Linked DNA regions of Callithrix jacchus. The main gene of each other region encodes a partner of the protein of the gene in region 2 in a complex. Links are inferred from orthologs where the notes say so. Each region holds a gene or a part of one and is shown on either strand. Other genes may lie near its edges. The genes, in order: TAF1B, POLR2F, ERCC3, TATA box-binding protein-associated factor RNA polymerase I subunit A, POLR1B, GTF2F2 and UBTF.

What was found.
Region 1: POLR2F (region 2) and TAF1B share a complex: the UniProt entries of both Homo sapiens proteins name them as parts of the pol I pre-initiation complex. The link is inferred for Callithrix jacchus from reciprocal best matches to the Homo sapiens genes POLR2F and TAF1B.
Region 3: POLR2F (region 2) and ERCC3 share a complex: the UniProt entries of both Homo sapiens proteins name them as parts of the TBP-based Pol II pre-initiation complex. The link is inferred for Callithrix jacchus from reciprocal best matches to the Homo sapiens genes POLR2F and ERCC3.
Region 4: POLR2F (region 2) and TATA box-binding protein-associated factor RNA polymerase I subunit A share a complex: the UniProt entries of both Homo sapiens proteins name them as parts of the pol I pre-initiation complex. The link is inferred for Callithrix jacchus from reciprocal best matches to the Homo sapiens genes POLR2F and TAF1A.
Region 5: POLR2F (region 2) and POLR1B share a complex: the UniProt entries of both Homo sapiens proteins name them as parts of the pol I pre-initiation complex. The link is inferred for Callithrix jacchus from reciprocal best matches to the Homo sapiens genes POLR2F and POLR1B.
Region 6: POLR2F (region 2) and GTF2F2 share a complex: the UniProt entries of both Homo sapiens proteins name them as parts of the TBP-based Pol II pre-initiation complex. The link is inferred for Callithrix jacchus from reciprocal best matches to the Homo sapiens genes POLR2F and GTF2F2.
Region 7: POLR2F (region 2) and UBTF share a complex: the UniProt entries of both Homo sapiens proteins name them as parts of the pol I pre-initiation complex. The link is inferred for Callithrix jacchus from reciprocal best matches to the Homo sapiens genes POLR2F and UBTF.

Annotation. Positions count from the first base shown.
Region 1 is NC_133515.1:105,053,865-105,056,555, forward strand, and holds the end of TAF1B (TATA box-binding protein-associated factor RNA polymerase I subunit B), read right to left. Parts: intron 1,039-2,691; coding exon 840-1,038; 3' UTR 590-839; downstream 1-589. UniProt on the Homo sapiens protein: Component of RNA polymerase I core factor complex that acts as a GTF2B/TFIIB-like factor and plays a key role in multiple steps during transcription initiation such as pre-initiation complex (PIC) assembly and postpolymerase recruitment events in polymerase I (Pol I) transcription.
Region 2 is NC_133502.1:208,954,995-208,959,295, reverse strand, and holds the start of POLR2F (DNA-directed RNA polymerases I, II, and III subunit RPABC2), read right to left. Parts: upstream 2,928-4,301; 5' UTR 2,773-2,927; coding exon 2,711-2,772; intron 1-2,710. Other genes in the region: C1H22orf23 (UPF0193 protein EVG1), read left to right, coding at 3,733-3,832. UniProt on the Homo sapiens protein: DNA-dependent RNA polymerase catalyzes the transcription of DNA into RNA using the four ribonucleoside triphosphates as substrates.
Region 3 is NC_133507.1:37,190,224-37,194,080, reverse strand, and holds part of ERCC3 (general transcription and DNA repair factor IIH helicase/translocase subunit XPB), read right to left. Parts: intron 3,078-3,857; coding exon 2,763-3,077; intron 1-2,762. UniProt on the Homo sapiens protein: ATP-dependent 3'-5' DNA helicase/translocase. Binds dsDNA rather than ssDNA, unzipping it in a translocase rather than classical helicase activity. Component of the general transcription and DNA repair factor IIH (TFIIH) core complex.
Region 4 is NC_133520.1:17,676,436-17,680,981, forward strand, and holds the start of TATA box-binding protein-associated factor RNA polymerase I subunit A, read right to left. Parts: upstream 3,121-4,546; 5' UTR 2,979-3,120; intron 2,537-2,978; exon of another isoform or gene 2,352-2,536; intron 1,488-2,351; 5' UTR 1,409-1,487; coding exon 1,367-1,408; intron 1-1,366. UniProt on the Homo sapiens protein: Component of the transcription factor SL1/TIF-IB complex, which is involved in the assembly of the PIC (pre-initiation complex) during RNA polymerase I-dependent transcription.
Region 5 is NC_133515.1:22,030,093-22,033,949, forward strand, and holds part of POLR1B (DNA-directed RNA polymerase I subunit RPA2), read right to left. Parts: intron 2,992-3,857; coding exon 2,858-2,991; intron 1-2,857. UniProt on the Homo sapiens protein: Catalytic core component of RNA polymerase I (Pol I), a DNA-dependent RNA polymerase which synthesizes ribosomal RNA precursors using the four ribonucleoside triphosphates as substrates.
Region 6 is NC_133506.1:164,482,237-164,486,093, forward strand, and holds the end of GTF2F2 (general transcription factor IIF subunit 2), read left to right. Parts: intron 1-3,314; coding exon 3,315-3,434; 3' UTR 3,435-3,838; downstream 3,839-3,857. UniProt on the Homo sapiens protein: TFIIF is a general transcription initiation factor that binds to RNA polymerase II and helps to recruit it to the initiation complex in collaboration with TFIIB.
Region 7 is NC_133506.1:71,070,804-71,075,319, forward strand, and holds the start of UBTF (nucleolar transcription factor 1), read right to left. Parts: upstream 2,971-4,516; 5' UTR 2,837-2,970; intron 2,469-2,836; exon of another isoform or gene 2,354-2,468; intron 2,110-2,353; 5' UTR 2,075-2,109; intron 1,125-2,074; exon of another isoform or gene 1,007-1,124; intron 742-1,006; exon of another isoform or gene 601-741; intron 171-600; exon of another isoform or gene 69-170; intron 1-68. UniProt on the Homo sapiens protein: Recognizes the ribosomal RNA gene promoter and activates transcription mediated by RNA polymerase I (Pol I) through cooperative interactions with the transcription factor SL1/TIF-IB complex.

The DNA.
Region 1 (2,691 bases), on a different chromosome or scaffold from region 2:
TAGGCAATGGGATATGTTTTCATATCCCTTACTCAGCTTGTCTTTTTCCTTTTGCTTTGCAAGAGCTACTGATACATTAAAGAAATTATTCCTTAGGCCGGGTGCAGTGGCTCATGCCTGTAATCACAGCACTTTGGGAAGCCGAGGCAGGTGGATCGACACCATCCTGGCTAACACAGTGAAACCCCATCTCTACTAAAAATACAAAAAATTAGCCGGGCGTGTTGGCACACACCTGTAGTCCCAGCTACCAGGAGGCTGAGGCAGGAGAATCGCTTGAAACTGGGAGGTGAAGGTTGCAGTGAGCCGAGGGTGTGCCACTGCACTCCAGCCTAGGAGACAGAGCAAGACTCTGTCTCAAAAAAAAAAAAGAAATTATTCCTTTGTCCATTGTATGCTGCAAAAATTGACTTTGCCATTCCAAGATCATCAAAGCATTTGTATTTATTTTCTGCTAATACTTTTATATTTTTAAGTATGAAAGATTAAGTTTAAATCTTTGATCCATCTGGGATTTACTCTGGGGAATAAAGAATATGGAAGGGATCTAGTTTAAAAAAATTTAGCTTTAAAGGACAATTAATACACATTTCTGGATACAATTATACAATTTATTGTTGTTTTAACTTTCTCTTAGAATATTCATACTCTGAAAAATAAAATCAAACAAAGCTTACCTGCTTTACAATATACATTTTTCTAAGCACACTTGATACATATGTAAATATGTGTCAGAGTATATACATATATATGCAGTATTTTCCATAATTCTTTGGAATGTTATATTAAAATCTGATGTTACTATTAAGATCTTTTTCCAAAAAAGTTTCATTTTCTCACTATCGTCTCCGTTTCTTGGATTTTGATTTCTTTTTTGTTACACTGTATTTTTTCTTAAAAAGTTCCTTTTCAACTAAACTCACTTCTTCATGGAGAAGGGAAGCCTTTATTCTGAGCAGGAAGGAGAAGAGATTTAGTATAAACTGATAACTCAGAGAATAATTTGATTCCTCGTAGGTTGTCACGTGTGTACAATAGCTAGAAGAGAAAAAGAAAAAAAGAATTTCTCTTGAGCTTATAACTGAGAAATGCACATATTAATCCCTGAACCTCCCCACAAATAACTTAGCAAATATATATGGTTAGGTTTAAAACAGTACCCTGAGCTAGAAGGAAACTCAGAACAATCTGGTAACTCCTTAACTGCACAAAGGAAAACATTTTCACACTGTGCATGGCCACCACACAAGGGCCACAGGTGGTTCTAGGAACTGCTCTTTCAACTCTTTGCTCAAAGTTTCTTCGCTCCAGATAGGCCACCACTCCACCCTCTTACCATGGTCAAGGCAAACAAAAGCAAACAGGGAGAGATTCTAAAACGAACTAAAGAAAACAAATAATCCCAACTGCTACCCAAAATAAGAGGCCAAACTTTATAACGTGGCTTGCAGTACTATATGTATTGCGATAGAAGAGTTTACCAAGCAATTTCCCTTATTTTAAAATAGTAAAACCCAAATCTGATCAAATCTCTAACTAATGCTAACTGCCAATCTCTTTTTCTTTTTTGAGATGGAGTCTTGCTCTGTTGCTCAGGCTGGAGTGCAATGGTGCGATCTCGGCTCACTGCAACTTCTGCCTTCCAGGTTCAAGTGATTCTCCTGCCTCAGCCTCCTGAGTAGCTGGGACTACTGCCTTCTGGGTTCAAGTGATTCTCTTGCCTCAGCCTCCTAAGTAAGCCAGGCTAATTTTTTTTTGTATTTTTAGTAGAGATGGGGTTTCACGTGTTAGCCAGGATGGTCTTGATCTCCTGACTTCGTGATCTGCCTGCCTCAGCCTCCCAAAGTGCTGAGATTACAGGTGTGAGCCACAGTGCCTACCTTTATTTATTTATTTATTTATTTTTTTAACCTACTTTTTTTTTTTTTTAAAGATGGAGTCTGGCTCTGTCTGCCAGGCTGGACTGCAGTGGTGGGATCTCGGCTAACTGCAACCTCTGCCTCCTGGGTTCGAGTGATTCTCCCACTTCAGCCTCCCAAATAGCTGGGACTACAGGCGTGCACCTCCATGCCCAGCTAATTTTTATATTTTTAGTAGAGAGGGGGTTGGCCAGTCTGCTCTTGAACTCCTGACTTCAGGTGATCCACCCATCTGAGCCTCCCAAAGTGTTGGGATTACAGGCATGAGCCACTGCACCTGCCATAACTGCCAATCTCAAACTCTAACTACACCAAACATAGGGTATCCAGGGACAGAGGAAGAGGTTAAATGGTATTGTATGGCACTGTCATAGGCAAAATCCAGACTATGAGAAATTGGTGGGACACATGACCAGGATTACTCAATAAGTACACTGTAAAAGGAAAGAGAGAGAGAGTGAGAGAAGGGGGGGTGGTTTCCTCATGAACTGAAACTCTTACAGGCCATGTCAACCACCTGCAATATATGAGCCTGATTTGGATTCTGAGTTAAATTCATTTAAAAAATTATATGACAGTTGGGAAAATCTAACCATTGACTGCATGTTTGATAATATTAAGAAATTACTATTTTTTTATATCTGATTAATGGTATTACAGTTTTACTTTTAAAAATATGATGTTTGAGGTCTGCTTCCAAATAATAGGGGGCAGAGGAGTAGAGTGAGCTGGAGCCTGGGTGAAGCAAGTCTTGCCATGTCACAAGCGTAAC
Region 2 (4,301 bases):
TTTGAGACCAGCCTAGCCAACATGGTGAAACCCCATCTCTACTAAGAATAGAAAAATTAGCTGGGCATGGTGGCCCATGCCTGTAATACCAGCTACTCAGGAGGCTGAGGCACGAGAATTGTTTGAACCCAGAAGGCGGAGGTTGCAGTGACCCAAGATCGTACCACTGCACTCCAGCCTGGGTAAAAGAACAAGAACCTGTCTCAAAAAAAAAAAAAAAAATCAATAAGTGCAAAGATATATGTCTCGCCCACTATATAGGAAGCACTCAATAAATATCTACTTAATAAGGATCAGCCGGGCATGGTGGCTCACACCTATAACCCCAGCACTTTGGGAGGCTGAGGCAGGTGGATCACTTGAGGTCAAGAGTTCGAGACCAGCCTAGCCAACATGGAAAAATCCCATCTCTGCTAAAAATACCAAAAATGGGCTGGGCGCGGTAGCTCAAGCCTGTAATCCCAGCACTTTGGGAGGCCAAGGTGGGTGGATCACGAAGTCAAGAGATCGAGACCATCCTGGTCAACATGGTGAAACCCCGTCTCTACTAAAAAAATACAAAAAATTAGCTGGGCATAGTGGCGGGTGCCTGTAATCCCAGCTACTCAGGAGGCTGCGGCAGGAGAATTGCCTGAACCCAGAAGGCGGAGGTTGCAGTGAGCCGAGATCTCGCCATTGCACTCCAGCCTGGGTAACAAGAGCGAAACTCCGTCTCAAAAAAAAAAAAACAAAACAAAACAAAAATGAGCCAGGTGTGGTTGGTGCCTGTAATGCCAGCTACTCAGGAGGCTGAGGCACGAGAATCACTTGAACCTGGGAGGCAGAGCTTGCAATGAGCTGAGGTCACACCATTGCACTCCAACTTGGGCAACAGAGTGACACTCCTTCTCAAAATAATAATAATAATAAGTAAATCAGACTTTTGTTCCATTTTACTCCTTCAATCTTTCCCCATCTGCCCCCAGATTTTGTTAGGACTCATTCATCATCGCTGTTTGCCTCTCTACTGGATCATTCTCATCAGCCTTTTTTTTATTTTTTTTTTAAGACAGAGTCTTACTCTGTCACCCAAGCTGGAGTGAAGTGGCGCAATCTCGGCTCACTGCAACCTCCGCCTCCTGGGTTCAAGCAATCCTCCTGTCTCAGCCCCCCGCGTAGCTGGGATTACAGGCATACACCACCATGCCCAGGTAATTTTTGTTTTGAGACGGAGTTTCGCTCTTGTTACCCAGTCTGGAGTGTAATGGTGCGATCTCGGCTCACTGCAACCTCCACCTCCTGGGTTCAGGCAATTCTCCTGCCTCAGCCCCCCGCGTAGCTGGGATTACAGGCATACACCACCATGCCCAGCTAATTTTTTGTATTTTTAGTAGAGACGGGGTTTCACCATGTTGACCAGGATGGTCTCCATCTCTTGACCTCGTGATCCACCTGCCTCAGCCTCCCAAAGTGCTGGGATTACAGGCTTGAGCCACCGCACCCGGCCAATTTTTGTATTTTTAGTAACGAAAGGGTTTCACCATGTTGACCAAGCTGGTCTTGAACTCCTAACCTCAGGTGATCCACCCTCCTTGGCCTCCCAAAGTGTTGGGATTAAAGGTGTGAGCCACCACTCGGCCCATCAGTATTTCAACATGTGCTTTTCCTCAACTAAAAAAAAAAAAAAAAACCCTTCCTTCTCTTCTCCCTCCCCCTACAGCCCTAATTCCATAGTGCCCTTTGAAGCAAAAATAAGTGAAAGAGCTGTCCCTCACTGTCTACAATTCCTCTCTTCCCATCCTGTCATAATCCCACTCCAAAAAGCCTTTCACACCAAGAGCTCCATCAAAACCCCTCTTCCCAAGTTCATTAATGATCTCCACGTTGCTAAATCCAATGGCCAATTCTCAATCTCATTTAGCCTGATCTACCAGCTGACACATTAGGCCACTCGCTCTCCTCACTTGACTCCAACGACACCTCACTCTCTTGGTGTTCCCCCACCTCCCTGGCTTCTCTTTTCCTCCAAGCACTCAACGTTTGAATGCCCGAACGCTCAGCCACGGGTCATCTCCTTTTCTCTACTGACACTGAGAATGTTGTAGCAATCCCACACGTTTCTTATTTTTATCTTCACACTAAATCTCTTTGTGCCCACACATCCAACAGGTAATTTTTTTGGCTCTACTTTTAAAATAATAATATATCCAGAATTCAAAACCACTTCTCACCACCTCTGCTCCTACCACCCTACCACAAGCTACTGACTTTCACCTAGATTACTGCAACCAGGCCGGGCACAGTGGCTCACACCTGTAATCCCAGCACTTTGGGAAGCTGAGACGGGTGGATCACTTGAGGTCAGGAGTTCGAGACCAGTCTGGCCAGCATGGTGAAACCCCATCTCTGCTAAAAACAAAACAGCCAGATGTGGTGGCACATGCCTGTAATCCCAGCTACTCGGGAGGCTGAGGCAAGAGAATCCCTCCTTGAACCTGGGCGGCAGAGGCTGCAGTGAGCTGAGATCGCGCCACTGCACTACAGAGCCTGGGCGACAGAGCAAGACTCCGTCTAAAAAAAAAATAAAAATAAGATTACTGCAACCAACCCTTCCAGACTTGTATTTAATGCCACCGGTGGAGCTGCCCCAGACCCTTCTCTGGAGAACTCCTATATTACATACTTCTAGAACTGGAGAAGCTCACGCGACTCCCATGACCTGTTTACTTACTTATGGGCCTGTGCCCCCTGTTCTAGAAAGCGAGCACGTGGAGGGCAGGGACGATTCCTCATTCACCTCAATATTCCCATGACACAGAGCCCGGCTCACCGAAAGACACCTTTCCTACGGATCCTATCCGGACCCTCGAGCCAGGAGCTTCCCGTGCCCGGTCTCCGGTCGGGCCGATGCTCCTGGGTCCCCGCCCTTTCCTTCCCCGGCACCGCCTGCCCCCTCAGGCCGCCAATCCCCTCAGACGTTGCCCCTCGACGCCAGGCTCCTCAGCCGCCTTCGACCCACGCCTTGCCTCATCTGCCCCTTCTGAGGTTGCCGCAAAGGCCACTTGGCTCTCGCACTCACTTGTCCTCGTTGTCTGACATGACACCCTAGTCTCTGCGACGCCGCTGCTCCCCAGTGCCGCGCGGAGACCCGCAAACGGCTCCACTACGACTCGCGCGGCGCCACGATTATCCTGCGCTTGCGCGGTAACCCAGAGGCATCACTTCCGGGAGGCAGGACGGCGCGAGAGAGAAAGGGCGCATGCGTTGACTCGTGGGCGCGTTACCATGGTAGCCACGGTAGCCACAGTTGTTAGTTGCCAGCTCTAGCAGCCCAGATCGCGTAGGATTTCTACGTGGCACCGGTGCGGCTGCGGCTGTAAAGCAGTGGTCACCGCCTCCGAGAGCTCACCTCTATGTGGAGAAGGGAGCACCCAGAGGAGGTCTTAGGGTGAAATTTCAATTTTGGCATATCTCTCAGTGGGTACTGTTCTGATCTGGCTATGTTAACACTGCCTTCCTCCCGAGGGGACTTCCCTGCCACAGGCGCTGGGTCAGAATGAGGACTCTGTGTGTGTATCTGTCTGTGTCCGGATGGGAGGTTTGGGCACTGTCTCGATATTAAATGGCGGCATCACGATTCTCTGGCTGGATCCCCGCTTCCAGACTTCTAGGGTGGTGGGCGTGGGGAAGAGGAAATTAGGGATAGGAGACAGAGGGTGTGTCTTTGCATCCTTCCCTCCTCAGGGTCCTTGCATGGCTTCACAGAAGATAGAAGTAGTGACCAAAGCAACGGGGTTCCGGCGCCGCCCCAAGAAGACCACTTACACCCCGGGGACCTGCGAGCTGCTCGAAGGTCAGTGCTTTAAAGCAGCGATCCCCAGCCTTTTTGGCACCAGGGACCGCTGTCGTGGAAGACAAGAACGGTTTCGGGATGAAACTGTTCCACCTCAGATCATCAGGCATTCCTTAGATTCTCATAAGGAGCCTGCAACCTAGATCCCACGCGTGCGCAGTTCACAATAGGGTTCACGCTCCTATGAGAATCTAAGGCTGCCACTGACCTGAAAGGAGGCGGTGACGCTCGCTAGCCCGCTGCTCACCTCCTGCTGTGCGGCCCTGTTCCTAACAGGCCAGGGACTGGTGTCAGTCCAGGAACGGGGGACGGGGCAGGTGGGGGACGGGTGGAAACCCGAGTTAAAGGATGAGAAAAGAATGATGGTAGTTACCCTCTGTAACTCAGTTCTCCCCTACCTGACCTGTGGCTTAGCAATTATTGCTATTTTCCTTTACAGATAAGGAGCCTGGGGTTCAGGAAGCTTCCA
Region 3 (3,857 bases), on a different chromosome or scaffold from region 2:
GACTGATGGGTCATATGGTAATTTTACAATAAACTGACAAACTGTTTTCCACAGTGACCATACACTTTGCTATCCATCCCTCTAGGAACATGTGACAGTTCAGCTGTTCTGTGACCTCATCAGCACTGGCACATCAGTATTTTTTATTCTGGCCACTCTAATTGGCATACAGGAACATCCTGCGGGTAGGTTTAACTTACAGTTCCCTGATGGCTAATAAGGTTGAATACTTTTTCAGGTGCTTCTTTGACATAAGTAATGCCTTTTTTGGTGAAATGTCTGTCAATTTCTTTTGCCTATTTTTTTACCTTTTTGCCATTGCCTAAATATCTAACAGGAAACTCAAATTCATATATCTAAAGCGCTACTTCTGATAGTCACCTTCCAGACCAGCTCCTTTGACAATGTCCCCCATCTCTGATAGCACTGCCCACTCTATCTTCCCTTTGTTTGAGCCAAAAACCTTAGTGTCATTCCTGATTTCTCTCTCTGATCCCCCCATTTGACCTGTGAGTTAAAAGCTTCACTACAAATCCAGAGTTGGATCATACTTTCATCCTTACTGGTTCACACTTCTTATTGGAATTCTACAAACCCACTTCACTGCTTCCATCTTGCTTCCCTCAGTCTATTCCCGGCACAGCAGCCAGGGTGGTATTTTTAGAGTGTAAAGTCAGCTCACATCACCCTCTGCTCAAACCCCTTAGATGTCTTCACACTAAGAGTACAACACCAAAGTTCTTGCTGTCGCCTACAAGGTCCTACAAGATCTGCCCCAATACCTCTATCCTTCCTCAGCCTTGACTACTGTTTCTATGTTCTTTCTCCTCTGGCAGCATGGCCATCTTGTGCTGTCTCTCTGTGCCAAGTACTTTCCCACAGCAGAACCCATACCCTGCAACACCCATCAGAAAGACCTCCAATCCCTCCCTGGCCAGCTGTGAACATCTCTAGGTATCTCCTGAAACTCATCAGTGCACAGAAAGAGCCAGATGCGGGGGCCATTTTGACAACATTTTGAACACTACCTGGGAAATGCCTCAGATTTCATTTTGTTCATAGAAACGTCTATTCCAGACTTCTTAATTTACCCTAATCGTTCTTCTTTTTTTTTTTGGAGATAGGGTCTCACACTCCGTCACCCATGCTAGAGTGCAGTTGCACAATCATGGTTCACTGCAGCCTCAACCTCCCAGGTTCAAGTGATCCTCCCACCTCAGCTTCCTGAGCAGCAGGGACCACAGGTGCACGCCACCACATTTGGCTAATTAAAAAAACTTTTTTGTAGAGACATGTGTCACTATGTGACCCAGGCTGATCTTAATCTCCTGCGCTCAAGCAATTCTCCTGCCTTCACCTCCCAAAGCGCTAGAGGACTACAGGTGTCAGCCACCATGCACAGCACTAACCTGTTAATCAAAATCCCTTAATCTGTTTTTATCAAAAAAGATTCACCCAAAAAACTATGCAGTTATAAAAGAAACAAATTACTGATAAATGCTAAGGCACATATGAACCATTATGTGAAGTAAAAGAAGCCAGACATAAGAAAATAAATTTTCCATAAATCTATAGTGACAGAAAGCAGTTCAGTGGCCGCCTGAACCAGACAAAGAAACAAAGACTGACTGCAAATGAGTATAAAGGAAGTCTAAAACTGGATCATGGTGGCTGGATGCAGTGGCTCACATCTGTAATCCCAGTACTTTGGGAGACCCAGGCGGGCAGATCACATGAGGCTGGAGTACAAGACCAGCCTGGCCAAGATGGCAAAACCCCGTCTCTACTAAAAATACAGAAATTTGGCCAGGCGTGGTGGCTCACACCTGTAATCCCAGCACTTTGGGAGGCTGAGGCGGGTGGATCATCTGAAGTCAGGAGTTCGATACCAGCCTGACCAAAATGGAGAAACCCTGTCTCTACTAAAAATACAAAATTAGCATGGTGGCGCATGCCTGTAATCCCAGCTACTCGGGAGGCTAAGACAGGAGAATCGCTTGAACCCGGGAGGCAGAGGTTGCAGTGAGCCAAGACCATGTCATTGCAGCCTGGGCAACAAAAGCGAAACTCCGCCTCAAAAAAAAAAAAATACAAAATTAGCCAGCTACTCGGGAGGCTGAGGTAGGGGAATCACTTGAACCAAAGAGGCAGAGGTTGCCGTGAGCCAAGATCACACCACGGCACTCCAGCCTGGGCAACAGAGTGAGATGCCATCGCAGGAAAAAAAAAAAAACTTGGATCATGGTAATGGCTGCACACTGCTCCACAAATTTACTACAACGCACTGGATTACATATTTGCAAGGTGTGATTTTATGGTATATAAATTAAATCAATACAGCAGCTTTAAAAAAGGTTTGCCCGTAATACTCGAAGAAGCAGGGCTTCTTTTACATACTGACTAAGAATCAACATTTCAGGCTTCAAAGAAAACACATCACCACCGCTGCGGAAGGGTTTTTCAGTGCTCCTAATCCAGTTTTTAGAGGGCCATTAAAAAACTGATTAAGCTGAGCAGCAAAAGAAAGATGGAGGAAAGAAAGTTTCATTTTCTATATGACTACTGAGCCAGTGATTAAGAAAGCTGTAAATGTGAACACTCCTGCCTGCATCCCACCCAAACTTAAGCATTATTAAAAAGCTTTACCCAACACTTCTTTTTAGCCAGTTGGGTGGGCTACACAGCAGTCCCTCTCCCAAACTAACAAATGGAAATTGGTCTGTCTGTTCAACAAGCGGACAGCTCAACTCCAGACGGCTTACCTGGTATAGTGTGCACTTCGTCCAGGATCATGAGGCCCCACTCCTGGGTCTTGAGCCACTCCATGACTCGCTCGGCCTCCCAGGACCTTTTGGTGGTGTGGCCCAGCATGGAGTAGGTGCTAATGGCAACGGAGCAGCCAATGGGCTTGTCCTTGGCGTCGGAGGTGAACCGGCAGATCTGGCTGTCGTCAATGGTGGACCACATCTTGAACTGGGCTTTCCACTGCTCCACAGAAACAGCTGAGTTGCCCAGCACCAAACAGCGTTTTCTGACAGTGCATGCAGCAGTCACACCAACCAGGGACTTTCCAGCACCTACAAGAAACAACATTAAGTTCCCACCCAAGGATAGGCTGAAATGAAGGACAGGAACAGGCAGAGTGACTCTTAAGTACAGCAATCTAGGACAATGTCTTGTAATAGTTTGCAGAGCTGACATCTGTGTGACACACATGGCTCCAGCCTGTTTTCTTCTTTATAATGAGAAGACACGCCCACCTCACACACATGTGAGAATTAGCAGGTGCTGGGGCCTACTGCAGCACTTCACATGTATCTCATTTAAATGTTAAAATCTCAAACCAGTGAGAAGAGAAATGCCTACTACTGCCATTTTAAAGACAGAAAAACCAGGCTGGGTGTGGTGGCTCACACCTGTAATCACGGCACTTTGGGAGGCCAAGGTGGGTGGATCACTTGAGGTCAGGAGTTTAAGACCAGCCTGGCCAACATGGTGAAACCCACCTTTACTAAAAATACAAAAAATTAGATGGGCATGGTGGCAGGCACCTATAATCACAGGTATTCAGGAGACTACTTGAACTCAGGAGGCGGAGGTTGTAGTGAGCCGAGATGGTGCCACAGCACACTCCAGCCTGGACGACAGAGCAAGACTTTGTCTTGAAAAGAAAAAAGAAACACTAAAGCCGAGGAGTACCTTACCTTGCCCACAGCCAAAGGACAGTAACGCCACTGGGGTACAGCATGCCTAGCCCACAGGAGAAGGGACTTGGCAAAAGTCCACTATCATTATTACACGGTAAACGGGACTGAGAACTCAGGGATGCACTGAGTGTGTACAGACAAGATGAAACT
Region 4 (4,546 bases), on a different chromosome or scaffold from region 2:
TGATATGTATATGATATGCGGTGTATCTGAGGTGGGCATGGTATATATGTAGTGTGTGATATGTGAGGTGGGTATAGTACATATGCGGTGTATCTGGGGTGTGTGAGGTGGGCATGGTATATATGTGGTGTGTGGTGTATACAGGTTAAGTATGGCGGGTGTGTGAGGTGGCTATGATATGTGTATGGTGTGTATAAGGTGGGCATGGTAGTATGTGTGGTGGTTGTGGTGTATATAAGTTAAGCGTATGGTCTGTGAGACAGGCATGGTATATATGTGGTGTGTGAAGTGGGTATGTGTGTTGTGGGGGGGTATGTGCGTTGTGGGGGGGGTATGTGCGTTAGGTGGGTACGATACACGTATGGTGTGTGAGAGGTGGGCAAGGTATATATGTAGTGTGTGGTGTGTGAGGTGGATATGTGTGTTGTGTGTGGTGTGTATGGGGTGTGAGTTGTGTGTGTGAGGTGGGTATGTGTGTGGTGTATGTGTGGGACATACGGGTTAAGTGCCTGGTGTGTGTCAAGTGGGCATGGTATACATGTGGTGTGTGAGGTGGTTATGATATGCATGTGATGTGTATGGGGTGTGTGTGAGGTGGGTGTGATATGTGTGTGGTGTATATGGGTTTAGTGTGTGGGGTGTGTGGGGGGCATGGTATGTGTGTCATGTGTGGTATGTATGGGGTATGTATGAGGAGGGTATGTGTGTTGTGTGTGGTGTGTATGGCGTATGTGTGGTGTGTGTAGGTTGGCATGGTGTGTGGTATGTGTGAGGTGGGTATGATATGTGTGTGGTGTATATTGGTTCAGTATGTGGGGTGTGTGAGGTGGGCATGGTATGTGTGTCCTGTGTGGTAATGTGTAGTATGTGTGAGGTGGGTGTGATATCTGTGTTGTGTGTGGTATTAGGAATGTGTGTGGTGTGTCAGGTGGGTATGCTATGTGTGGTATGGGGTATGTGTGTGGTATATGAAAGATGGACATGGCATGTTTGTAGTGTGTGAGAGGTGCGTATGATACATGTGTTGTGTGTGGTATGTATGGGGTATGTGTGTGGGGTGTGAGGTGCGAATGGTATGTGTGCAGTGTGAGATGGATATGATATGTGTGGTGTGTATGGGGTATGTGTGTGGGGTGTGAGGTGCGCATGGTATGTGTGCAGTGTGAGATGGATATGGTATGTGTGGTGTGTATGGGGTATGTGCGTGTAGTGTGAAGTGGGCATGGCATGTTTGTAGTATGTGACAGGTGGGTATGTGTGTTATGTATGGGGTATGTGTGTGGGGTGTGTGAGATGGGCATGGTACATGTGCAGTGTGAGCATGGGTATGTGTGTGGTGCATATACATATGCACACACATGCATACCTGTGCACTGTAGATGACAGGCAGGCTGGCAGCCCGGGACATGCAGCGGTGACCAGCTCAGCCAAGGCAGGGCTCTGGGAGGGAGTCACCAGGCCCCTGGCAGCTCAGGATCCTGGATACACTAAGAGCCAAGGAGGAGAGAACAAGCTGTGTCACCACCTCCACCCAAGTTCATCACTAACATGAACCTGTAAGCTGCACTGAAACTGTTCCACTTGTGATTAGAACCAGAAACACTCCAGATGGGCTCAGCACAGCCAAGGGGGGTGGAACTGTCCTCAATGTTCTCCACCATTTGTGGCCAGATCTACCACCAGCAGCCTTGCCAGGCAGTGCCTGCCTTGGGGAAGGGGCCTAGCCCACGGCAGGTCCCCGCTGTGCTCCCGGCCCGGCGCCTGCAGTCCAGGGGCAAGGGCGGGGTGTGGAGTCTTTAAGTGATAATTTTTTCCCTCTGGGCCTTATTATAAAAGGAAAGGGAAGGGGAAAAAGATCCTAGCTCAGGGTCTCCGGGGACAGCGAACCCAAAGGCGACCCCAACCCAGTTGCCGTCCGGCACCGGGAGTTGATGCCAGCGCCAAGCGAGGATGGGGAAACGCAACCAGCAGCCCGTCCAGCCCGGCGGCAGGACCCAAGTGCCCCCCCAACCCCCAGACAGCACTTCTAGCCGGCGCCGGGTGGCCGTCCGCCACAAGCACCCCCCCCCACACCCAACCCGGGGATGCGAGAGCACCGCCCAGTACCCGCTGCACCCACCCACCAGTCGTGGGAGAGGGAAGTGGCCGGTAGGAGTGGGGCCGCTGGGCTGCACCCCCAGATCCCAGCAACAGCCGCTCCGCAGCCCCGCCGAGTCCACAGGGCAGTGCTCGAGAACACTGGGGCTGCAACCTCGGGCCGCCCCCACGCATCCGGGTCCCTGCAGTGCCACGGGAGGCCCCAGGCTGCCACCGGTGGCGACTCAGGCAGCCCGGCCCCCCGCCCAGCTTACCTGGCCAGGGAGCAAGGCTGCTTCAGCGCGGTGCAGTCCCCGCCCCGCCGCCGCCCACCGCGTCGGCGAAGCCGAGCTCCTCAGCACGCCCATGCCCAGCAGCACACACCCAGCCTGGCGCCTGCAGCCCAGGGGCAACGCGGTGTAGGGTTTTTAATTGAGAAGGTTTTTCCCGCTGGGCCTTACTATAAAAGGAAACGGAAGTGGGACAGGATCCCGGCTCTGGTTCTCCAGCCACGGAACGCACCAGCGGCCCGGCCAGCCCTGTGGGACCTGAGCGGGAGCCCTTCCTCCCTCACCACTTCCCCCACCCCCACCCCCGTCAGATAGCGCCTGTAGCCGGCACAAGTGGCCTGTCGCTGCGGCGACCTAGCGCGGGATGTGAGAGCCGCCGGTCGTGGGAGGAGGAAGTGGCGGTAGGAAAGGAGTGGGGCCGCCGGGCTGCACTCCCAGATCTCAGCAACAGCCACCCCGCAACCCTGCAGCCCTGCGGAGTCCAGAGGGCTGCGCTCGGAGAACTAGAGCCGCAACCTCCGCGCCGCCCCACACTCCTCAGGGTTCCTGCGGTACGGCGCGAGGCCGCAGGCTGCCACTGGCGAGTCAGGCAGCCCGGGTCCCGCAGCTTACCTGGCCAGGGCGGGAGCTGCTGCAGCGCGCTGCGGTCCCACCGAGTCGCCGCCCGCTACGTCCGCTCCTCAGCCGAGCTCCTCAGCGAGCCGGCGCAGAACCGCACAAACCTTCTGCAGCGGAGTAGCCCCGGGCGCGTCCCGGAAGCGGTGTACGGCAAGCCCGCAGGGCCGCCTCTACCGGGCGCACGCGCACTCACCTAAGCCTGCGCGACACGCTCCGGAACTGCTCCTTCGCCTCACCCGCTCGAGTCACTGGGGCCGGAAACGCTTCCAGGAGACACGGCGCGGCGGAAAGAGATGGAATACAAAGATGATGTGTCGGAGCCGGACGTACACAGGGCCCCGCGCCCCCTGGCCCCGGCGTTGGGACAATCGGCAGGGCGGGGGGGTTCACTCTAACCCGGGTGCGCGGGGCTGATCTCCCGGACCCGGGATGGAGCTCAGACGCTGGAAGGCGCGGCGTCCCCGAATGCCCCGGGACCTGGGGAGCACCCAGATTCCCGAGGCACGTCCTGGCTCTGCTGGCTCGGGAGCTGCAGGGGTCTGGTCCCGCGGGTAGAGCCGGAGAGCACGAGGCTCCCACCGTGCCATGGCTGCCGCACTGCACCCTGCTCACTCTTCCCCGCCCACCACCGCAGTTGTAAGAGGCGACCCTAGAGCAAGGAACCCTCGGGGATCGCCGCCTCCGAAAGCGCCATCCGGCAGGAGAGGCTCCCTGCTGCCTCCCCACCGCAGATCCCCTAGGAGCGTGCAAGACTCCAAGTCTTCCCTACGGTCCCTTCCAAGGACCCCAGCAGCCCGTCCCTCCTAGGGCCTCACTCCAGGCCATTCTCTCCTTGCTGTCCTGAATGGAGAGGACCCTGACCTCCGTGGGGCCCTGGGGAGCCAGTCTTCGCCCCCATAGCGTGAGAAATTCCCTGGAGGCTCTGGAAGGTCGCGCCAGAGACTCTGGTGTCACCTTCGGCCCTCTGGCCCTTTCGTCGAGTCCCAGGCGGATGTGGTAAGCTGTGGGAGATGCACAGGGTGCCTTTTCTGGGCCAAGCTGGGGCTCAGGTGCCTCCCTCCCTGAGTGATTTGCCTTCTTTTCTCCTTGTGGCTGCATTACGTGAAGCTGTGTCCGAAGTGGGGGGTAAAGGACAGGGGACCTAGGGGATGAGGAGAGCCCATCTTCCTGCTGCCTTGAGGGCCCGAGCTGAGACCTTGAGAAGGGGCTGGGGGAAGCTGAATCCTGAGCTGCACTAAGGTTAGATACAGTGTGGACTTGGCCTCTCCACACTCTGCCCCCACCAAACACTCACAAATCCCTAGGGCCGGAGGTGCCAGTGGGGGCTGCTCCTGGTAGGGCAGCTTTATAGCCACAGGGCCAAACAAAGGGGCAAAGGCAGAGCTAGGGCAGGCCAGCGAGATTCGTGACCCCCTCCCTGCTCAGGTGAGCATACCTTCACTGCTTACTTTCTACCTGGATAGACATTCTGTTTACCTGGCCAACACAAAGTTCATCCAGCCTCCTGTGCCCCAGCCTTTCTTCAATGTTAATGGTGGGAAGCAACAATTACAAAGCAATGA
Region 5 (3,857 bases), on a different chromosome or scaffold from region 2:
TGGTCAAAGGGTATAAAGCTTCAGTTATGCAACAGAATTAAGTTTCTGGAGATCTCATGTACAGCTTGTGACTATAGTTAAGAATACCATATTGCCTACTTGAAATTTAAAAGCGGATCTCAAGTGTCCTCATCCCCCTACCCTCCACAATGCTAACCAAAAAAAGGAGAATGAAAATAAATTATTTAAACAAAAGCTAAAAAAGAATAAGGTAAACCAAAAGAAAGCGCAAATTATAACAAAGATAAAATCAGACTGATGAGGCAGGCAGATCACTTGAGGTCAGGAGTTCAAGACCAGCGGGGGCAATGTGGAGAAACCCCGTCTCTACTAAAAATACAAAAATTACCCCGGCATGGTGGTGTGCACCTGTAATCCCAGCTATTTGGGAGGCTGAGGCAGGAGAATCACTTGAACCTGGGAGGCAGAAGGTACAGTGAGCCAAGATCATACCACTACACTCCAGCCTGGGCGACAGAACAATACTCCGCCTCAAAAAAAAAAAAAAAAAAAAAAAAGGAATGATTGAATGATTGTTTAATGGGTACAGAGTTTCCATCTGTGACAGAGAGAAAGTTCTGAACATGGTGATGACTGCACAACAACATGAATGTACTTAATACCACTGAACTATACACTTGATCAAATCTCATGCTCTCTGAGCATCAAAGTAAGTAGTAACAGAATACTCACAAAATTTAACAAGCATCTATAAATCTGTGCTAACATAAATAAATGAATAACTAATAGAAAAGAAAGCCCTCTCTTACAGAATAGCAACTAATAAAGATAGAACAAATGACTGGGGGAAAACACCATGTGGTAACCATCACAGTAATATTAACTCATCAAAGAACCACCAATGTAATAGTAATTCAGCAAATAATTCATCAACTACTGGGTGAAAATGTGAAGAAAAGGGGCTCCACATAGCTTTCAACTATCTCTCCACGAGTTACTTATTACAGAGAAAACAGAAACTATGTGAATTAACCTAAAGAACACAACCTTGAGGGGATCAGTTAACATGACCCATAATGGGACAACCAACGTCATGTGCTTCCTGAAATGATAATGTGAGTCTCATCAGGAGGAAGCAAAACATAAACCTAAATTACAGGAGAGCTGTAATATTGTTAAATATCTATTTGGTTTTCCACCCTGTTTCCTGGCATACAATTCCTAAAATCCTTACACTTTGCAAAGTGATGTCTTTTTGCATGCTAGTCAGATGCACAAAAATCACTTGAACCAGACAGATCACTTGAGGTCAGGAGACCAGCCTGACCCAGATGGTGAAACCCTGCCTCTACCAAGTATACAAAAAATTAGCCAGGCATGGTGGTACGTACCTGTAGTCTCAGCTACTCGGGAAACTGAACCACAAGACACTGACTCAAAAAATTAAAACAAAAGACTGGTGGTTGACAGCATCTAGGTGGGCTTCAGGACGGGGCTGGTTACCAGAAAGACCAAGCCAGGATTAGAGGATTGGGACTTTTAGCCTTACCTTCAACCTCCAGGAAGGGAATAGGGGCTGGAGGTTAAGCTAATCACCAATGGCCAATGATTCCATCAGTCATCCTATGTAACAAAGCCTCCATAACAACCCAAAGGACTGGGTCAGGGAGTTGCCAGGGTAGCCAGGCATGGTAGTGCACTCCTGTGGTCAGGCAGCTTGGCAGCCTGACGTAAGAGGACCACTTAAGCCTGGGACATCAAGACTGCAGTGAACTGTGATTGTGCCACTGCACTCTAGCCTAGGCAACAGAATGAGACCCATCTCTTAAAAAAAAAAAGAAAAGAAAAAAGAGAACATTACTGAGACAACTGGTGGAATTTGAGTATCAACTATGGATCCCACCCACATGACCTTCTCTGATTTTCAGAAATGTACTGGGGTTATTGAAGAGAAAGTCCTTGTTCTTAGAAAAAATACACTAAAATATTTATGGAAAATGGGACAATGTCTGAATACTGCTCTCAGATGGCTCAAAAGAAACAAATTATCAAGAGCATATAGAAGATAAAGCATGTGGGGCAAAGCATAGTAACTGGTGGATTTGGGTAATGTGTATATAGGAGGGTCCTAGGTACTGATAAAACATATTTGCTCTAAGTGTAAAATTATATCAAATGAGCCACACAGTTACATTTCTAAGAATATACTCAAAAGAATTAAAAGCACAAGGACTTAAATAGATATTTGTACACTCACGTTCATAGCAGTGTTATCTGCAATGACCAAAAGGCAGAAACAACCCAAGTGACCAACAGAGCACTGAAACTAAAACTAAAATTTAGCTTAAACATTTTTTTTAAATAACACAGAATAGAATATAAACCACAAACTCATCATGTTGCCAAAGGACAATTCTTTCAATGGCATTATCAAAGCAATAAATACTCGTCACTAGGAGGAAATCCCAAAGATAAGTTATTCAAAGAATGTCATTCTACTTTTTAAAGATGTATTTTCAAAACCTAGGAGGCAATGGAGTGTAACTTCTACCTTGCATATTTTGAATATTATGGAAATATCTGTATTTTGAGATCCCTCAGATGCCACTGGTATTAAGAAGGGGGAAAAAGGTTAAAATTAGTTAGATAAGCAGACTGGGGTGCCTCAATGAAACTACCAAAGAATGTATATGGGTCAAATATCTGTCACTGACCCCAACCAATGAAACCAGTATAAGGCAAGCCTCTGTCACCAGAGGGAATGCACAGGCATTTTGGACATTCTGACCCCTGACCACCTGATCACTCTAGACTACCCAAGGGTTAACCCAAAAACTAGAAAAGAACTGAAAACCTAAGGTCAAGAAATAGGACAATTCACAAAGCTCAAGCCCACCTTAAAATGACGAAGAGAATCTGCAATGCCCAGAGCAAGCTCCTTATCCACCCAGCCAACCATGACGCCGTCCAGCAGGACAGGGTAGCACTCACTGTACGGTTGGTGGGGAGCTCCATCAACAGGAGTGACCCCTGGTAAAGGGAACAAACAGCACAATCACATTAGAATGCTTTATCCAACATTCCAGATTCCCTCCAGATGGGGTCAACAGCTGCTGGATCAGTTCAGATATCAAATTATCCTTGTCTCTAAAACAGGTACAGGCATTATTTCTTTTAATTGCACTTCAAAGATATTTCAAGTGGGCTTATCAATGCCATTTTTCCAACAGCGTGTGTTCCCTTTGTTTCTTTGTGTTGGCATTTTGGTAATTCTTGCAGTATTTCAAATATATTATTATTATACCTGTAATGGTGATCTGTGATTAATGAACTCTGATGTTACTACTGTATTTGTAGATGTGGTAGAAATATCAAGACAAGGCTGGGTGCAGTGGCTGACGTCTGTACTCCCAGCACTTAGGAAGGCTGAGGCAGGCGGATTATGAGGTCAAAAGATTGAGACCATCCTGGCCAACATGGTGAAACCCCGTCTCTATTAAAAATACAAAAATTAGCTGGGTGTGGTGGCATGCGCCTGCAGTCCCAGTTACTCAGGAGGCTGAGGCAGGAGAATTACTTGAACCTGGGAGGTAGAGGTTGCAGTGAGCAGAGATCACGCCACTGCACTCCAGCCGGGTGAGAGAGTGAGACTCCATCTAAGAAAGAAAGAAAAAAGAAAGAAAGAAAGAAAAGAAAGAAAGAAGAAAGAAAGAAAGAAGGAAGGAAGGAAGGAAGGAAGGAAGGAAGGAAGGAAGGAAGGAAGGAAGGAAGGAAGGAAGGAAGGAAAAGAAAAGAAAAGAAGGGAGGGAGGGAGGGAGGGAGGGAGGGAGGGAGGGAAAGAAAGGAAAGAAAGAAAGAAATAGCAAGACAACTAGAATTAGAAGTAGAGCCTAAAG
Region 6 (3,857 bases), on a different chromosome or scaffold from region 2:
GGAAGTGTGTGTAAGGGGGAGTGCTGGAAGATGAGGCCCAGGGAAGAAGGCCGACCTGAGTGGATGCCTGCGAAGGCGTTTGGAATTCAATGTGCAGGCCAAAGGGGGAAGTCACTGAAACATTTTAGACAGAGGAAGGACATGCTGTCTCTGTTTGCTGTCCATGTCTTCTTCCCTTTAGAGATTTTTTTTCTTGTTTTTCCCTATCATCACTACTGCTTTCTCTGCTAATGCTTTGTACCTGCTTCCCTGCCAAGATAATTTATTTATTTGATTACAGTAAAATGGTCTTGGCCGGGTGTGGTGGCTCAGGCCGATAATCCCAGCACTTTGGGAGGCTAGATGGGTGGATTGCCTAAGGTCGGTAGTTTGAGACCAGCCTGGCCAACATGGTAAAACCTCGTCTCTACTAAAAATACAAAAATTAGCCAGGTGTGGTGGCACATGCCTGTAATCCTAGGTACTGGGGAGGCTGAGGCAGGAGAATCCCTGGAACCCAGGAGGCAGAGGTTGCAATGAGCTGAGATCGCACCACTGCACTCCCCCCTGGGCAATAACAGCAAAACGCTGTCTCAAAAAAAAGAAAAAGGTCTTAGATTGCAGTTTAGAACATCCTACAAATCAGGAAGTTTGTGTGTCCCCTACCCCCTAGTCACAGTAGATTGTGACCGTGATTGCATTTTGTTGCTTGAAAAATTGACAGACCAGGATTATCTCATTCCATTTTTACTGTTACACGGAAAAAAGAATGACACCTTCTTGTATAAAAATAATTCCTTATATTCTACCAGTTTACCAGAATGAGCGTGAACATGAGAGCAACTGAATTTGTACTCTTAATACGTTCTCAGTATTCTGTGTTTAACCCTTTTTAGGCTTTTCATTTTCTGGGCCTAGATTATAAATGGGCCCTCGAGACTTGAAGTCAGGAGAGGTCTTCTCTGTGGGGCTACCACAGTGCTCCTGGAGGTGGCTTTTCGCTTTTGACCCTGTGCATCCACAGTGTGTGGCTGGTTGTGCGGCACCGTCTTAGCCAGTCTCACAATAAAACATTCTTTGGAATTTTACAAAGATGTCCTTCTTGGCACCTAAACAGAGAATCATTTGTCTCCAACCGATCATTTTCCATTTGTAAACCCTGCTCAATTAGAAAATCGTTTATGAATAGTGTCCTGTTTTTTAAATGTAATTTGAAAAACTGCTGTTGCCGGTGGCAGACTTGCATTTTATATTACCTGGATGTTTCAAGCCTTTATGCTTACTCATTCACACGGGTCTGCTAGTGAAGCCAACCGCAGGTGTGGGAGGCAGGCAAGCCTCAGGGGAACCCAGGGCTCCTTTGGTCCATTGCTGCCACCTGCTGGGGCCGGCTGATGGAATGGGAAGGCTGCCCAACAGCGAGCTAAGCCATCCTGAATGAACCTCAACCTCTGTGTAGTTCCAGTACTAGCCAGCTTTTGTGTTTCTAGGTGACAGTCTACCCCTGACTTCCAGTACTTTCTAGGTGACAGTCTACCCCTGACTTCCAGTACTTTCTAGGTGACAGTCTACCCCTGACTTCCAGTACTTTCTAGGTGACAGTCTACCCCTGACCAAAAGGACACTGTGAACTCTAGAGCGTTATGTCAGTCACTGTAAAGTGGTGTCACATTATGTTGGTGACACCTCATCTCCAGCAGTGATGAGGCCCTGAGAATGAAAACACACTAAGGACTCAAAGATCCTAGAGTTTCAGAGCTGGAAGAACCGTAAACCAGATGCAGTATGTAGTCACATGAGTCACCTAGGCACTTGTTAAAATGCAGGTTCCTGGGCCTAGCCCCAAAGACTTTGATTCGGTAGACCCAACATGTGTCTTATTTAACTGGCTTCCCACAAGGTTCTGATACAGGTCGTCTAGCATCACTGCAGAAGAGAAGAAAACTCCTGAGATATCCAGGCAAGAGCTTCTCAGCCGTTGTTCTTATTAATGCCTCGTTTCAATCAATAAGAAAAGTTATCTTTCATCAATGGGATGAGTCATCACCATACTGCAGCTGGTTCTTTGAAGCAGACGCACACAAAATAATTAACTTTCCTTCCTTCTCTAAGAAGGAAATCTGTACTTTGTATTGGGCAGCTTATTGTGGAATGCTTTTTGGCCTTGAGCATTGGCAAGCAAAGGTGGAGTTTCATATTACACTTAACATAGCCATTATTTCCATGACTGCATTAATCATTTAGTAAATGTTTGTTGAATTTTTAGGGACCTAAAACACCATCATACAGATTCTTTTCTTTGTAGAAGTAAAACACAAAGCTGCATCCCCGATAGTTTTTGAAGATGTCTTACTATCCCTTCTTTGTTGTCGTTGTTGAAATAGAGTTTGGTTCTTGTTGCCCAGGCTGGAGTGCAGTCTGGCTGACTGCACCCTCTGCATCCTGGATTCAAGCGATTCTCCTGCCTCAGCCTCCCTAGTAGTGGAGACAGGGTTTCACCATGTTGGCCAGGCTGGTCTCAAACTCCTGACCTCAGGTGATCCGCCCACCTCGGCCTCCCAAAGTGCTGGGATCACAGGCATGAGCCACCGTGCCCAACCTGATTATCACTTCTTGTTCCCTTCTCTGTGTGGCAAGCTTGGCTAAAGTACAAATAGCAGTAAATACAAATGACAAAAAATAAGTGGCCTAATAACAAATTTGAGAACTCACCTTAGAACTGAGGTTTCTGAATACCTGTCGTATGCCTGCTTGATAGAATATTCTCAGAAATGTTAGTCATTTTTTATGTATGCTGTTGCTCCCTGAAACTGCTGGTTTCAATCTGACTGTAAACTGAGTCCTTGAGGCTGCTGAGCTCAACGGCAGATTACACTTGGTGTACTGTGTCACACTGAGTGAGGACCAGTAATATTTTCATGTGTTTCAGCTAATGTTTTTTGTGTTTGTTTTAGCTTTTAAGTCATTGGCATTCAGGACTTTTATCCCCTTTAATGCAAATGATTATATAGTTAGTGCAGTGATCATATCACACATGTGGAATCAAAAGGCAGTTTACTTATAGATCAATCTTGCTGAGCTTTTAGGAGCATTTTTTTTTTTGAGATAGAGTCTCGCTCTGTCTCCAGGCACCAGGCTGCAGTGCAGTGGCGCGATCTCGGCTCACTGCAACCTCCGCCTCCCAGATTCAAGCAGTTCTCCTGCCTCAGCCTCCCGAGTAGCTGGGAGCATAGTTTTTATGACTTGCATACGTGCTTTGGCATAGCATCTTATTTTAAGTTTTGTTTGCTGCCTTTATAATCTCATTTATTAGGGTTTTTTTGTTTCTGCTTTAGGTGTACCTGAAGGAAATCTTAAAAGAAATTGGAGTTCAGAATGTAAAAGGGATCCACAAAAACACGTGGGAGCTGAAGCCAGAGTACAGACACTATCAAGGAGAAGAAAAGAGTGACTGAGGTGCCTCCCGGCCTGCATGCCAGTGAGACCACTAGCAGTATGCTGAGCAAAAGGCGCTTGAACACCGTATGTTAACAGGGGTGAAGCGACGACCCTACTTTCATTTCTCTCAGTAAATTTTTTAAACCTGTAATTCTTGTAAAGTTTCTTAACTGGTTTCTTTTATTTTGTTTTGTTTTGAGAAGAAAGAACAAATTTATTTATAGACTTCACTTGTATTAAACCAGATTATTCACAATGGGAATAGGGGTTAGAGGATTAAGAGGGTTTTTCTTAAGTATTAGCTTTTAAACATGTACAGTTAGGAAATGTTTTTTAAATGAGGGCTCTCTAACCTTCCTGTTATCTTTGAGGAGCTGAGGTAATGCAGATCCAAGGAGGATTGTATAGCAAAAAAGAAAAAGGCAGTCAGCTGTAGAAAC
Region 7 (4,516 bases), on a different chromosome or scaffold from region 2:
TCTATCCCTCCCCTCCCAGAGTGGAGAGGGGCAGGTCCACACTCTCAGAGTCCCAACCATGACCTTACTGGATTTAAAGGGTCTGTGGGAGTGGGAGTGAGCCCCTCCTCTGCTTCCTGACCCCCTCCCCCAAACCCTGCAGCCCAGCTCCGCGGCGCGCGCCCTCCTCTGCCCACGCGAGAGCCTGCTCCCAGCTCCCGCGTGCAGCAAGCGCCCGCCCTCCGCCCTCCTTCCCCAACCCTGGCCAAAAAAAACTCCTCCTCCTCTGAGCGCCCGCCCCGGGGAGGCCCCAGGCTGGAGGGCGGGGGAGGAGGAAGGGCGGGTAAAGGGCGCGCGCGACCACGGAAGCGGGCACGCGCCCCAGTCTCCTCCTCTCGCCTCCCCCCGGCCGGTTCCCCCCGCCTCCGCAACCCGGCGGGGACCCGGACGCAGCGCAGCCGCCGCCAGCCCCGGAGCGCAACGGCCGCACCGCCCCCGGGGACCGGATTCGGATTCCCACCGCTCCCCCCTCCCGGGCTCCCATCGCCTTCCCCGCCCGCTCAGGCGGGCGAGCAGCTGGAGAGAAGCGGCCTAGCCTGCCCCCCGCCCCGAGCCACCTACCCCGGCCAGAGGCGCCGCCGCCGCCCAGCCACCCCGACTCGCACGGAGGAGCCCGGCGCAGAGGCGCGACCGCGGCGGGAACCGCCGCCTCCTCCCCCGAGCCTGCGGCCCAGCCCCGCCGGCGCCCCCGCCCTGGCCTCCGGGGAGCCGAGCCAAGCAGAGGGCGGGAGGACGGCGGCCGGGAGGCGGGGGCGCAGCGCTCACCGGCCCCGCCGCCCCCTCCGGCGGCCGGGGAGAACTGCGCCTGCCGGCTCCGAGAAGCGCGGGCTCCTCCGCCAGCGGCCAGGTCTCGGCTCGGGCCACGCTTCCTGCCCTCCCCTCCCCCGGCTTTCGGCGTCCTCCCCAGTGCCCTGGTCTGCTCGCGCCCGGTCCCCTGCTCCGGTTCCCAGCCGGGCGCCCACCGCACCCTGCGGTTCGCTCCCTGCCGTCAGGCCCCGACCCTAGCGCGCGTCCTCAGCCGCCTCGGTTACCCGGCGCAGAGCGGCCTCCGGGCTTCCCGCTCCGGCGGCTCCCTCCCCGGCTCTGAGCGGCGGCGCCCTCCCCCGCTCGGCCGGGCACAGCCGCAGCTCCCTCCCGCGGCGGCAGCGGCTCCTCCTCCGGGCGAGGCGGCGGCGCTGGGGCGGCGGCTGCTGCTGCTGTGGCTGTGGCGGCGGCTGTGGCTGCTGCCTGCTGCTCCTCGCGGCGAAAAGCACAAAGCACAGCGCCCTCCGCCTGCAGGCAGCCCGCCCGCCGCCGGCCCCGGCCTCAGCTCGCACACCCCCCGCCGCCGCCGCAGCCTCAGCCGCCGGAGCGGGGAGGAGGAGGGAGAAGGGAGGAGGAGGAGCGGGAGGGGGGGCGGGAGAAGCGGGGCAGCGAGCGCGTCCTTCCCCGTAGAGCGCACACCGACCCCCGGGGAGCGAGCGCCAGCCCGCCCGCCTCGCCGGCTCCGCTCCCTCCCACAGCCTGCCCGGGCGGGCTCCGCGGGGGGCAGCTGGGAGGAGGGGCGGGAGCTGGGGGGACCCGGGCGGCCGAGGCGGAGGGAAGGAAGGAGGGGAGGGGGGTGGTGGTGGTGGTGGCGGCGGCGGCGGCGGCGGCTGCTGCTGCTGCCGCCGGGCGGGGGGGGGGGCCGGGGCAGGGAGACACGCAGCCGCCCGGATGGCGGCGGAGCTCGGAGCCGGGGCGGGCGGGCGCCGAGAGCGACCTCGCCAGACCCGCGGGGGAACTAACAGGCTCCTCCGGCACTAGAGGGAGGGCCGAGGTGCGGCGGCGGAGAGGGTGCCCAAAGGGGCCCCCGGCGGCTGGAGAGGCTCGGGGGGCGCCCACAGCTCTGCTCCGGAGCTCTCCCCCAAGTCCTCCCAGCTCAGACTAGGGCTTCCAGGCCAGCTTTTTCCCGCCTCCCGGAGCGAGCGGTCCGCGCACACCCTCATCCCCCAGAGCGTGGTCACTGGCTTGGGGCGCACGCACGCCGATCGCGGCGCCCGGCTTCAGTGCCTACCTTGCGGTCCTCACTGCCGAACGGCACATACGAAACTTAAAAAAAAAAAAAAACAAAAAACTAAAACCTCTGCATTAAAAAAAAAAAAAATCCCCATTGCTCTTTACACCCCGGAAACGGCGAAGGAACGACGGGCTTCGGCGGAGAAGCCGCTCTGGGAGCCGGTTCAATCCAGCCCGGCATGGCTCCCCAGGCCTGCCCGGGCGCATGGAGATCGGCGCCACCGCCACTCGTAGCGACCCCTCTCCCCCGAAATCCGCGGCGCCCGGGCTCACTTACCGAGCGTGTGGATGGGAGCGCGGGCTGGGGGCACCTGGGGGCGCGGCGGTCCGAATAGCCGAGCCGCAGCTCCGCTGCAGCCGACGCCGGGGCAGCAAGTCGCCAGACAAAGCCCGAGATGGCGAAGCGGAGCGACGGCTAATGGCGAGCCCCACGCGCCGCGCTCCGCCCGCCCCGCTCCGCCCGCCCGCCCGCCCGCCTCGGCGCAGCGCAGCGCCGCTCCAAGCGCTTGCCCGTCAGAGCCGCCTCGGCGCCGCCGCCTCCCGGGCCACGGCGGCCTCGCCTGGCCCCTCCGCCTCCTCCGGGCTGCTCAGCCTCACCCCTTCCCTCCCACTGCTCTAGGGGTTGCACAGAAAATTTTTTTTTTTTTTTTTTAAGAAAAATGCTTTTTTTCCTTTCCTTTTTTTTTTTTTTTTTTTTTTCTTTTTTGCAGGGCGGGCGTGTTGAGACTTTTGGATCTTTCTGCCCCCAGCTCGCACTCACCTGCGGAGCCGCCGGGAGGGCTAGTAGTGGGGGGCGCACGGAGCTGGAGCCGGCGAGCGCGGCTTGAAAGCCAGCCAAGCTCTGCAGCGCCCGACCCGGGCGTGTACGCCGCCGCCAGTCCCCGCAGAGAAATCGTCCTCCTACCCCCGCCTCCATCGCTCTGCGTTTCTCTTCCAATCAGCCGGTCGCTTGGTGGCTCCTCCATTCTCCGGCCAAGCCCAGCTGCCTAGAGCGAGCTCCACTCCTCCATCTGTTCGCCCGGCTCCTCGCTCCCCTGCCGGGGCTGGCGAGACGGCTTGAGGCCGGAGGGGGATTTGCGAGAAAACCTGCCTCCTTCCCGCTCCCATTGCTCCATCCCCGCTGCTTCCTGCCTCCTGCTTCTCTCTCCTGCGTCTTTCCAACTCTCTCCCATGTCGCCACTGGTGTGTGTCTGAGTGTGTGCGCGTTTTTTTTTTTTTTATTGCTCTTTGCTTTTGCAACCCAGAAGCAAAATGGGGCGGGGGGGGGAGTTACAGGAAAAAAAAAGCGAGAAAGAAGCTCTTAGATTTGCAACACATCGGAAAACCATGGGAGCACCCGGCCTTATCCGATCTCCGTGCTCCGCGAGGGCCTTCCGGGTTTTAGGACGAGCTTCTCAATGTTCCCCTCTTCGCTGGGTTTAGGATCCGAGGAGTCCGAGCAAAAAGTTCTCTCCTTAGCTCGTAGTGAGGGGTGTCAGGGTGGGAGTTTCGGGATTTTTCAAGAAGCAGCGGCTATCCTTGCTACCCCGGCATCGGCCACTGGGCCGGGGTGGGGGAAAGAGCAAAATCCCAGTGGGTTTGTGCGAGGAATCTTCTGGGGTTGGGGCGTGGAGTAGTCGGAACCGGGAGAGACACCGCTTCGCGAATCTCCCCCTCGGTCTCTACCTCCTGTCCTCTGCCAGCTCCCCCTTTAATTTTTTTCCTCTCCTTTAATCTAATTTCTTCCAACTCCACCTTTGTTGTTACCGGCGTCACGCCCCGACCAGCCAATCCCCGCCACGCAATCAGTTTGTCAAAAAGGTTCGGCCAGCCCTGGGAAAGCAGGCCGCAGGCGCTGCCCCCCGGCGGCGGCGGGCAGCCGCGAGGGGAGCTCGGCACCCCGGCCTCACTGCCCGGGCGGCAGCGGGGCAACCGCCACCGAGACTTCCCCCGGTTCACTATCCTGCAGGCGGGTGATGAAAAGCCTGGACGGGGTCCACCGCCCACCCTTGCACTGCCATGGCCGTGGTTGTCTGTCTTTGCCTCCCCTTCTCAGAGGAAAGGTTATCCGGACGCAGGGAGCCAGAAAGCCGTCTGAAGGAAGCCTGCTTCCAACAGGCCCAGCCTCCAGCCTGGGCCACCGCTCCTGGGCAGCGCCATTGCTCCTGGCTCTCAGGCTACCAGTTTCCCACACCGACACTCTACTGCCCGCATCTGGGCCAGCTGGGTCACCCAGCCCCTTTCTACTCTCCCCTGGCACGCAGCCTTCTCCTTCACTCAGCCTGCCTCGCTGCTGCTGTAATTCCTCTTGTCTCCTGGGAGAAATGATATTCCTTTCCCAGGACTTCCACATCCCACTTCTGTCACGTTTCACAAACAGGAAGGAAATGCTGTCAAGATGTGGTGTGTCCTGTTCTTTTTTTTTTTTTTTTTTTTTTTTTTTTTTTTTTGAGGGCATTGG